Oryctolagus cuniculus: one gene and its partner. The protein of the gene in region 1 interacts with the protein of each later gene in a biochemical or structural test. Links are inferred from orthologs where the notes say so. Each region holds a gene or a part of one and is shown on either strand. Other genes may lie near its edges.

Region 1 (6,070 bases):
TTCTTGTACTCTTCACAGCTGATCCAGAAGTCAATGTTCTCCTCACTATATTCAGATTTTAAGAAAGCTTTGAAAGCTGCCAACCCACCTGCAATACAGGAGAAAGAACCACACATGTTATCATACTCAATGACCTCTTGGACATGGCAGTTCAGATAAAGCTGTGGTACTTGGAAATAAAGCATAGGTTCAAGGACTCCCCAATTTTCTCCTCTTTGGAGGGTCACTTGGGGGAAGGCAACTCTAATCTCTGAATAGTATCTAGTAGATCCAGTTACACAAAATGATTCATGCTCAAAATCGAATGTGTTTTGTTTCTAAAACACCTAAGTGGCTATCAATTACCAAGGTAGGTTTGGGAAAGAGAAGCTGAGGTTGATTCTGTAAGAATATCTCAATATTCAGAAGCTTTTCCTCTCTGCCTTTTTCTACCTGATGATAGAGATGGTTCTCTGATGGTTCCTTTGTGAACTTTCCATTGTACTTCACAAAGCACTAGTGCATGGTAAAATGTTAAACAGACTGGATATAAGACCAAAACGTCATCTTGGGTTTGGAAATCACAATGAACCTTGTTCTTTCTGCAGTTCCTATGAGGCCAGCATAATATGAGATAACCTGCCTCCTCCACAGTGCCTTTAACCTCATCCCATGAGCGGGATAAAAAACCGTCAGACTTACATTCATGGTTAATCAGGTTTTCCAGTGATTCGGCCCATTTCTTGACTTCCTCTTGACTCACCCTAGAGACATTACAGAGAAAAAAAATAGTTTGAATTTATGATACAAAAAACTGGGGCAAGCAATCTAAGACTTAATAAAATGTAGAGATTTTATTTTTTATCATCATGAACAGCTCTATTATTGATTAGATCATGTTTTTTTTTTTTCAGTAAATATGTGGGAAAAAATCTCCAATGTAGTTATGATTTCCATGAACATGGGGGCCATCTTGATCCAAATCTGGCTTAACTAGGGGCATACTTTCCTTCTTTTCTTATACAACTCTCTAAACTCAGATAGTTAAAACTCAATGGGCTTTCATCCAGGCCATTTCTCTTACCTCTGGCAAACAACCACTTTGTCCTTCTTGCTGTGGGAGGAATTATGTTCACAGGAATCTGACTTCTGCAGCAGGAAACCCAACCGATGCTTCATATCTTTTGCACTGCACAGAAGAGGAAAGCAAGGGAATTAACGATGGTAACCACCTGTCTTAAGACACCTAGTGGTAGGCTTGAAGAATTCATTAGTAGCATATAGTGCAGAGACAGTTAATTTAGGGAATAGGAGATGAAGTTGGCATTAATTCTCAGGAAAGCAACACTTGTTTCTGCCAATGAGTTAATGCACAACCTTGAGATGAGAGTCATAACACTGGTTTACTTATCTATAATTGGAATTCTGACCCTTCAATCTGTCTTAGAAGCCCGTTCTGTACACATGCCATTTTGGTGCAACAATGAAACACTTGGTATCATCAATATAACCACACAAGAAGACATGACTGTTCTTTGAGTAATTTTTAGGAGTTAGAAAGCAGCAGTAACTGCAAAATTCGACACCTTTTTGCTGCACGCCCCCTTCTGGTGGTTGGTTGCTATTGTCATCTGTCTCCTTGCAGGCAGAGTAAGAAGCTCCTTTGGAAATTAAGGGTCTCTTTCTTTCCATCCAAATATGTGATGGAACAAGAAATATGTGTTATGGGGTAAATATGGAGTACATACTGAGGTGTGTAGCTTCAGAAATGGAGTGGTTAACGCAAATGCTCAGGGTGAAACCCACGTTCCTTTAGATTAGTTCTTCCAGACAATATAGTGCTGCTATTGCCTTCTTTTTTAATATTTATACACTGAAGAAGCCATCTAGAATCACTCCTGAAACTAGTGATTGCGATTGCGGGCAGAGTTTCTGGTGTATTGCCATTTCATAGGTGACCAGGCTATGTCAGTACTCCTCAGTAGCTCAAAAAGGAGGCCCAGAGATAAGCTTTTACCTCTTCTCTTACACTACCATGTTTTTGCTTGTATCTCTTACTATAAAAGCTACAAAATAGTTAAAAAGAGAAATGATTTTAAAAAGAAATGGATAGCTAAGTGTTCCTACTTGTAGGGGGGAAATAAAGGGTAAAAAGAAATTTTAGAATGGTTATTGATATACTAAAGGTTTATCTATGTCGGCTTCCCAAGAAAGTTTGAATTCCATTAGGTCCTTGGACTGCCCCCTAAATGGTATTTTCTCTTCTTCACATGACTATTTGCCTTTCTCTGCTTTCTCAACTGGTGACTGCACAGGGATTGGGAAATTCTCCTTAATGATAGCAAGATATATTCCTGAAGCCTAGAGTGGTTCTAAGGTGATGGCATGAGTGTATTGTGAGTCAATGTAAATAGAAATTATTCCGTACTACCATGTGCCTCCTCTGTTTGAGATCCCATGGCTATTGACTGCCCAGTGTAGGGTCATTTCCTAATGAGTTGAGAGTATGCACAGAAAGTATCCTTTTAACGTAATAAAACAGTACAAATAAAAACGAAAATCACTTCAGAAGTCACTGGAATGAGGAACTGGATGTGATCTTCACTCACACACCCCGGGCAGTGGGAAGTCCCTCCGGAAGCTCGGGCACTGCTGGAGAAAGTGCTGGACTAGATGATTGACGTTTCCCCTGTGAGGAGGGGAAGAACAGCTACCTACTGACTGTGAGCTTAACCTTCTCAATCAGTTGCTCAGTGCCTCAAGGGCAGACCTCTAGCACAATCTCCCATCTATGAATCACTAAATATTTACTGGAGCATAACTTTTCCCTGACACTTCTGCATTTTGCATGATTAATTTTATATGTGATTTAACTGAAGCGTGGATGGTCTTGCTCTATCCAGTTAGGAAATTAATGGTGAAGGTGAGAGGTATTTATCCCATCAGTACTCTCTACCAGAACCTCCTGCTTCATTACGGAGAATATATCAATACTGTCCTGCTTCTGAATGAAAGGCAAATGGCTTCAAAACACACAAAAGATTATGCTTCTTGGAATTAACTCCAAATTGAAATGTAAGGTGATTGTTCTTTGCAGGGAGACAAGAAAAGAGGTAGTACACTTGCAGATTGACTTTTTACCTTTAGCTGCAAGATTAAGTGATGTAATACGCTCTCATTTTGTATTTTACTTTCAACTGATGAATATCTAGCATTTTCTGAAATCATCTACTTACGCCTATTTAAAAAGACAGAAGAGTAGCTATATATTTTTAAGTCTTTGTTTTTATATTGACAAAACAATCTCTTTAGGATGAGCTCTTCTACAGAACCCTCAGATGACTTGTTATAATCAATACTCCTTAACTACCACTCACATAAGACACTTTAAGAATGAGAGATAAGAACAGAGAAAAAAAGAGACATGTAGCATAGAAACTATTTCATTGTGACATTTGTTTATGAGAATATAGAACGATACTGTAGCCCCAACAGAAAGCATTGTGGCTTTCTGATGATGTAGCACAAGTTCATTCCGAGGTGTCCTCCCCTAAATGAATTTCAGAGAGTCACAGTGCTTGCAATTATCCAGGTATGCTCACATAATGGAGGTGATCACAGATACAGCAAGTAGAGTCAACACCTCATATGATTCTTAATCAGCACTAGCTTAGTTAGAGGACTTGGCTAAAAGATCACAACAGTTTTCAAAACTGAGGTCACATGAAACAACACACTAATATCAGAATTTGGGAAGCACAGTTCTTAAGTCACAAATCAAGTTATTCTTGGAGAAAATCCAGGGAAATATTCTCCCCTGATCAGACTGCTACTCCAAAGAACCAGGTTAGTAAACACAACTAGCAAGTAACTGAGAAAGTCTGTCCAAAAGTTGAACGTAGTTAGTAGCTGAAAACAATCTTACCTCCTCAAGCAGGAAGCCGGCAGACCTGCAAGCCCTTTGCACATCTTGTCTAACAGCGTGGGATTCGCCGAGGAGGAAAGAAACGCAGCAGGAGGAGCTGTGGCCTCTGTTTTGCTCAAGCTTCGGTTTCACTCCTGCAAAGATGCTGCCAGAATCCTGAGCTTCTCCTTTCCAGGCCTGTAGGGGTCTCTTTTATAGCCCGGCCACGAGCGACGAGCCAATCAGATAACAGCTCTGCGGTACCAGCGCCTGTCTCCTCTGCCTCTCCAGCCCCTGGAAGGCAGGAGGAAGAAAGGACTTACGCATCAGCCATGCAAAATGGACAAGCTGGGAAAATCCTCTTCCAAAATAGACATACATGAAAAAAGTGACTCAATATCTCTACAAATGTCTGTGATTTTTAACTTCTAGAGACGGGAAAAATAAAAGTCTACAGTGTTGGAAAATATGGGAGTTTATTCTTTTGTCTGTAAAAACAGTATCAGGGACAACATTGCCTCCGGAACGGAAAGGTGCCAGTAGGAATTCTAAGGCACACTTTGGGGGTTGAATCTCAACACACTTTCTCTTTTGGATGAGAAACATCACATTGTATGTGACCCAATATTTGACCTGCTCGATTTCCAAAAGGCAGGTGGGAGGATCATCGTCTCCGAGAGATGATTTCTCCATTGCAAGACACACGGAGGTGTGGGGAGAAATAGCTAAATGGCAGACAGGAATATGCCTGGCAGCATAGAAAAGCTGGCCCAGGAGAAATAGATTTGCTGCATCTGTCATCAAACTGACTGTAGAATACTTTGCTCCAATTCTTATTAAGAACAGAATTCAGCCCAGCACTGACAATTTCTCCTGTACATGCTTGCCTCCTGCAAAAAGCCTCAAATAGCAGCCTGAGGTCCAGGGCAGCAAGGAGATGAATAAATATAGATACTGATTCTTGTTAGCAACTGTGTTCATGTCTTATGTAATTCTAAGCTTCTAAATTGGTATTTCAAGAGGAAGAAAGGGAGGGAGAGAAGGAAAGACAGAGAAAGAGAAATGCTCCAGAGAGCAGGCAGGCAGAAAAATATGGTTTGCTTTGCCTATTACCTGGCTTCAGGGTTAGCATAAGAATATTCTGCCCTGCAGGTACTTCTGAACACCGAGACTATTAGTATCTTTTGCATGTAATATCATAGACTGAATATTTTAAAGAATCATGCAGGTGTTTCGTATCTTACAATCATAGCTCATGTACACTAGAACTGCAGAGAGTGCTTCTTTGTATCTGAAAGCTGTGAGTACAAGGGGGAAATTAAATACCAAGTCTGACCCAGACAGCTCTCATTTTGAAAGCAGGTAGATTTCTGACCGCAAGCTACAGGGAGCTGTGCTTTACTTAGAAGAAACAGAGATATCAAGTAGTTCAGGTGGGAAAGATGAAAAATAGATGGGAGCCAGTAGAATGCAAAGAGAGTGCGAAGACAGAATGCAAAATGGAAAAGAGCTGTACCTGTATGTCCCCCTTCCCCCATTCATGCCCTTGAAAATCTCAAGCTGCCTCCACTCCCCCTCCCCAGCTAGCAAAGAGATGGTAAACAAACATAAAAAGGCTAAGGACTATAATCTTCAGAGGATGCATTTAGATGGTAGGAAAAAGCTTTGGCCTTCATGCAGGAAGACAAGAGAACATTTATTAGATTAGCTACTGGACAACTTTTCCTTGAGTTATAACACAAAACAAATGAAAGTTGGCAGCCATTCGTGGTGATAATGTGGAAAAAACTGCAGTGTCACATGAATTAAGAGAGCTCGTAAGACCTAGAAAGATGGACCCAGGGATATGAGTCAGGCAAAATTAGCATCAGACAGGAGAGACTAATTAAAAGGGAGAAACGGTTACTCAAAGATGGATCAGGGCTTCTCTGCTTACCTGGGTGCCCAGATGATTTGATTTTCGGACAATGAGTGAGGATCCGAAACAATTTACTGATGTCTGAGAATTCACAGTAAGAATCTTGTGTCTTGTTCCTAGTACAAGAGAAGCTCATTTGTCACAAGTTAAATATAAATTGTTGCAATAGATGAGCTGAATAGGATTTTTAAAGCAATCAGATCTAACCCCTCCATTTTACCAAGGAGAAAATAGAGAAGCAGAGGGGAAATGATTTGCCACAGCTCCTT
Region 2 (5,895 bases), on another chromosome or scaffold:
CACCTGGCTGGGACGGGGCGGGGGCTGGGTTTATGACAAGGCCCCCACCAGCACAGCAGCAGGCTACCCAGGAGAGGCAGGAGCTCTGGTCTCCGAGGGCCTTGTGGAGCCTCCTCCGTGTGGAAGCCCTGGCGCAGGGGGCCCAGACCACTGCCCTTGGAGTCCGAGGGTGTGCGTGAGCGGAAAGGGAGGCCGGCGGGCTTGTGTCTCCACCCTCTCAACCACCATCGCTCAGCTCTCGCCTACTCTCGTAACTGGGTCTCTGCACGCTACTTTTGCTTGGGGGAAAAATTAAAAATCAATATCCTTGGCTAGAGTTACAATTTCCTACACTTCTTACCCAAGGTGGCGCAAAAGCCCCAGAACTGGGCTACACTGGGGGAAAGAGGAGGTTTCTGGTTATTTGAGAGCTAAAGTTAACTGAGGGTCACAGTAGCCCGGGACCTCAGGGTGGGCGGGGCAGAGGGCTCAGCGGTCAAGCCAGCACACCTGGTGAAAAGCCCTCAGGTCACCTTCAAACCTCAAGGGGCTGGTGTCTGGTGCAGCTTCAATGCAGCAGGTTAAGCTGAGACAGTTGCATTTCTCATGGGAGTGCCGGGGGTTGGGGTCCTGCCTGTGCTTCCCCGCCAGCCTCCTGCTAATGTGCACCCTGGGAGGGGGGAGACGATGATTGAAGTATTTGGACCCCTACCGCTTATGTGGGAGACCCAGACTGAGTTCCTGGTTCCTGACTCCACCCTAGCTCAGCTCTGGCTGTTGTGGGCATTTAAGGAGTGAGTCAGTGGATGGAAGATCTTTCTCCTTCTCTGTGCCTCTGTTACTCTGCCTTTTAAAATAATAACAATAGAGCTCTACAAGGTACCAGGATGCACTTTGCACCAAAGCCATACCACATGTGTGTGTGAGTGTGTATGTGTGTGTGTGTGTATGTGTGTACATAATAAAACGACTGGATGAATTCCTACTGACTCCTCTGTGACCTGTGGCCCACCCTCTGGGAGGGGCTGTAGCAGAACTGCTTTAGGTACACTGTGCAGGCAAGGACAGCACTGGGCCTGCAGGAAAGGCTCTGCATAATCCACGGGCTTCTTCTCCCTTCCCCTCATGTTTTCAGCGGCTGTAAGTAAACCTGCTGGAGACTCACAAGGCTCTGGGGGAAGTCACACAGCTGCCATCTCTGGCACTTGCACACACACACGGCACTTCACGGTTCAAAAAGGGCTTCTGGGCACAAACATTCTGCTTCCTTTTTTAAATTTGAAAGAGTTAAAGGGAGAGGGGGAGGGAGGGAGGGAGAGACAGAGAGAGATATCGTCCATCTACTGGTTCACTCCCCAGATGGCCACAACAGCCAGGACCTTCTTCCGGGTCTCCCACGTGGGTGGCAAGGAGCCCAAGCTCTTGGGCCATCTTCCACTGCTTTTCCCAGGCCATTAGCAGGGAGCTGGGTGGGAAGTGGAGCAGCCCACATGGGACGCCGGCCTCACAGGCGGTAGCCTTCCTGGCTGTGCCACAGCGCCAGCCCCACATTCCGCTTCCTCACTAGGGAGCTGGCAGCTGCAGCAATGGGCATGTTTCTTCAGCCCTCTCTGAATCTCTGCAGGTGCACTCCCTAGAGGCAGAGGGTGTTCCCATCTCCTTGACTCTGAGGATAGTCACAGGCCTTGCCGTGGCCCACGGAACGGCGTGGGGGCAGCAGCTTGTCCCTAAGGCAGCCCTGGGGTCTCCGTGTACTCGGGGCCTATATCATCATTGTGAACCTGCCCAGCCTTCCCCATTCACCCCAGAAAGAGGAGCTGGGGTGCATGGCACAGAGCTGAACCCACCCTGGGTCTTTGATCCTCAGCTGAATCAGTGACTCAGTTTGGGGAGGCCTGTTAGCATTGCCGCAGCAGTGCCAAGCACTCTAAGTACGTAATCCCCATTTGATAGGTGGGGAGCCTCGGAGCTCCAGAGAGGAAGGCACTCGGCTAAGGCCACGGTGCGACTGGCAGAGCTGGCACTCGAGACTCAGAGCCTTCTGCCTCCACGGCCGCCGCTGGGGGCAGAGCTATGCGTGCTGAGAGCAGTCAGGGCCCACACCTCTGATGGCAATGACACCTGATGGAGGAGCTGGGAGTGGGGCGGCAGGCCCTCTGGGGTGGAGGTGTTGTCCTCGGGCTGGGTGCAGTGGTTATCACTGGACGATTGGTCCACTGCGAGCCCGCCGATGAAGGCCGAGGAGAGGCAGACTACACGGCCCAGGACACGAGTGGGAGGTACTGAAAACCCACAGGCCTTTTTTGAGGGCGGGAGAGACACAAAGGGAGGGAAGTCAGCAGGCGTGTGGTCAGCAGGTTTCCGTATCGAAGGGGTGGGGCAAAGCCCTCTAGGCCTGCTGGCCACACAGCCACTCAGGTGGAGGGTCTGTCCACGGCACAGGGTCAGTGGAAGGGTTGTGGCAGTGGTGCCCCTGCCTGCCCAGGGAAGGAAGTTGCCCCTGGCCTGGAGGCTGGCCAGACACGCCAACCCTGCTCACTCAAATCCGGTTCCCTGGGGACAGCGTCCTGAATGCCCAGCCCTTGGGTTCCCAAGTCACCCCCAGCTGACAATGCGGGGCTGCCCAACGAGACAGCCTGGCTCCCCAGGGTCAGCACTGGGCTGCTGAGTGCCTGCCCTGGCGGTGGTGACCTGAAAGGTGGCCGTGGGGCCTGGGCTCTGGGTGCCTCAGGGAGGCAGTGGTGACTCAGGGAGGCGTGGGCTGGAGAGCAGGGGTGGGGCCTGCACCTGGGGCTAGGAACAGAGCGAGGCCTGTGAGTCAGGGCACTGCCCCCACCCTGCCCCCCGGTGCCTGGCTGACCTCGGGCAGTCTGGTGCTGTCCCAGGCCAGAGACTCGGCCAAGTCTTCCAAGCTTCCTCCTGGGGCCCCGCTGTCAGGGTCTCGGGCAGCCCAGTTAGAAGGCGGCAGCATCCAAGTGCCAGGGGAGAAACACCCCCCGCTGGGCACCCCAGAGCCATGGTGCTACGGGGGCAGTGTGGTTCTCTCTTCAACTCTGTGCTTTCTGCTCCTGGGCTCGCTCCTTGAGGGGCGACTGGAATGGATGCCCTCCACGGTGGGGGGGGGGGGGCGGGGGGAGCTGCATTTGATGATTCCTGGACTCTGCCGCCCAGCCCGTGGGCCAGAGCCCTCCTCCCTGCCTCACCTCCTCATTGCCCTGTGCAGGGGCCGGGGCGTGGTCCTGTGCGGCAGCACCCTTCGGCTTCCTGTTTTGCTCCTCATCTGGCGGCACCGCTACGGGCCCAGCTTCTGGAACCCATAGGCCTGGAGCCCTGCCGGACCGATCCGCCTTGAAGCCTCCCAGGTCCGGGGTGTGGTGCCTCCGTCCTGCCTCTCTTCTGTTTCCCGCCAGGCCAGAGGCTGTCGGTTTCCTCCTAACATCAACTCTCCCCTTCTCCTTCCGGACAAGAAGCCCAAGAAGGAAACACACTGATGGCCACAGACTACATTTCCCGTTTTGCAGCGGGGCGTCCTTGGGACTGGTTCTGTGCAATGAGATGTACGCTGAAAGGCAGCGACGGGTTTTAAAGGGAAGGGGCACCCTATTTCTCTTACTTCCTCCTCCTAACGCCCAGAACTTGGGTGTGATGGCTGGAGCTCTCCAGCCGACTTGCATCATGAAGACAAGGTCCGATCCTAGGGAGAGTGGGACAAGGATCTCCAACCAGCCTGGCTGGAGGAGGTGCGGCACTATCTGGAGTCAGACCGGCATTATTTTAACGGTTTTTCTTTTGTCCACTTAAATTTCTATCTTCAGCTCTCTGCTGTGGCCAGGGAGTGCAGTGGAGGATGGCCCAAGTGGTTGGGCCCTGTACCCCATGGGAGACCAGGAGAAGCACCTGGCTCCTGCCTTCGGATCAGCGCGGTGTGCCGGCCGCAGCGCGCTGGCCATGGCGGCCATTGGAGGGTGAACCAACGGCAAAGGAAGACCTTTCTCTCTGTCTCTCTCTCTCACTGTCCACTCTGCCTGTCAAAAAAAAAAATTCTATCTTCTCAAAGCCGCTATTTTCAGGGTCTCTGGTTCACTGTCAAACCTAACCCTCATGGGTACAGTAATACTCCTGCTTAAATTCTTCCGATAGGTTCCCATCATTCCTAACTCGCAAACTCCTCACTGAGGCCTTACGAAGTCCCTGCCTCTTTCTGTGTCCTAAAACCCTCTCAGAGCTCCGGTCCTTCTTCCGCTCCCCAAACGAGCCGGGGCAGCCCCAGCCCACCTCCCTCTCAGCGTCCCCTTCTCAGCGAAGCCCTCCCCTGGCCCCAGGCCAAGCTGCTCCACAGGGTGCACCCATTCCTGTCCCAGCTGCTGCTGCTTGCACCTGTCCTCAGGGCAGGGACTGTGTCCCGACCTCACGTGGCACCTTGGGCCTTGCAGTGCTTTGTGCATGGCCAGGGCAAACAGATCTCCTGCACTGTAAGGCCAGGCACGCCCCACTTTCTGACTCCGCCGCCCCCATCTGTCCACTGCCTCTTCTTATCTTGTCGGTCTGGACAAAGCTGGCATCTCACTTCAACATCGCAGCCGCCCTACTGGGGTGGGCACCCTGTGTGCGTGGGTGACTCGCTCAGGGTCACACAGCTAGTCAACAGGAGGGCCTGGACTCAAAGTCCACCTTCTCCCCGGCATCCCGAGCCACAGCCCTGGGCTTGTGTCTCAGACAAGGCCTGGTCACCCGAGGCCAGCACTGAGGCCTCCCTGGCGCTCAGCCCAGCCCCTTGAGCAAGGGGGAGGGAGGCTTGGAAGGGAAGGGGGGCTTTAGTGCCCAGCCTAACAAGCAATGGACAGAACCAGAGGAGGCCTTCGTCCCCCCCCCCCTATCTGCATGCCTCGGGGCCAGGGCTCCTGCTGAGCTCGGCCTTCCCATCCCGAGCGCCTCCTGGGCCAATAGCAGGGGGTGTTTCCCAGCATCCTCCCTGCTACAGCCCCTGTGCACCGCTGTGCACTCCCCCTGAGGCAGAGCACACCTGCTGTCCAGGCATCTGAGCTATGACTAAAGACAGGAGTGCGGCCAGGGCAGACTCGCTGGGTGCTGGGGTCTGAGTGTGTCCCCCAGGAATTCATACCTTGCGACCCTAACCCCAGTGAGGAGGCGGGCAGGTCACAGGGTGGAGCCCCCGCGGGTGGGATGTGTGCCCTCGGGAGAGGCACCAGAGGGAGCCCTGCTGCTGCCCCCACCGGAGGCCCCAGGGCGCTGCCCCTCCCCAGACCCAAGCATGCCCACACCTTGGCCTTGAACTTCCCAACCTCCAGAATGAGGGGGGGTCGTGTTGTTTCTAAGCCCCCCAGGCTGTGGTAGTTCGTTGGAGCAGCCCTAATGGACAGACTCCAGATGTGACCCACGGGAGCTGCACCCGTGCCCTCTCGGGCAGCCCTGCGTGCTCTCCACCAGGCAGTGCTGCAGGGGGCGGGCAGGGAGCAGCCTCGAGGCGGCGCCCAGGACTCGCCCCTGCCGACACCCTTTCTGCCAGGCACTGGTTCTCCATCCCCCTGAAGCCTGAGCCTCTCGGAAGGGAAGCACCTGACTCCAAACCAAACTTCCCTAAGCAGCTCGGCTGGGGCGGCCCGAGTTCCCTGATCCCAGGTGTGGATGCATGCTCCAGGCCCGGCCGATCCACCTGCTGGCCTCTGAGCAGTAGGATCCCACGTTTGTCGGATTAGGTGAATAACTGCCCGCACCTGGACACCTGCAGGAACTGTCAGCAAAGAGAGACTCTCCGAGGGAGGGAGGGACCGCTTGAGCGTGCAGCCGGCGCTGAGAGGGCCGAGCTGAGGGAGGGAGCGCATCGATGCCAGGATGCAGCTGTGCCTGCAGCCTGACGCTGCTGGGGCTTTCTAGTTACCTGAGTCAGCCAAGTCG

What was found.
Region 2: the proteins of RGS4 (region 1) and GNAO1 form a complex in vitro, tested with the Homo sapiens proteins (2 studies listed by BioGRID). The link is inferred for Oryctolagus cuniculus from reciprocal best matches to the Homo sapiens genes RGS4 and GNAO1.

The regions. Positions count from the first base shown.
Region 1 is NC_091438.1:35,610,313-35,616,382, forward strand, and holds the start of RGS4 (regulator of G-protein signaling 4), read right to left. Parts: upstream 4,069-6,070; 5' UTR 3,949-4,068; coding exon 3,905-3,948; intron 1,169-3,904; coding exon 1,064-1,168; intron 744-1,063; coding exon 682-743; intron 89-681; coding exon 1-88. UniProt on the Homo sapiens protein: Inhibits signal transduction by increasing the GTPase activity of G protein alpha subunits thereby driving them into their inactive GDP-bound form. Activity on G(z)-alpha is inhibited by phosphorylation of the G-protein.
Region 2 is NC_091449.1:40,102,943-40,108,837, reverse strand, and holds the start of GNAO1 (guanine nucleotide-binding protein G(o) subunit alpha), read right to left. Parts: upstream 3,748-5,895; 5' UTR 3,657-3,747; coding exon 3,183-3,656; intron 1-3,182. UniProt on the Homo sapiens protein: Guanine nucleotide-binding proteins (G proteins) function as transducers downstream of G protein-coupled receptors (GPCRs) in numerous signaling cascades.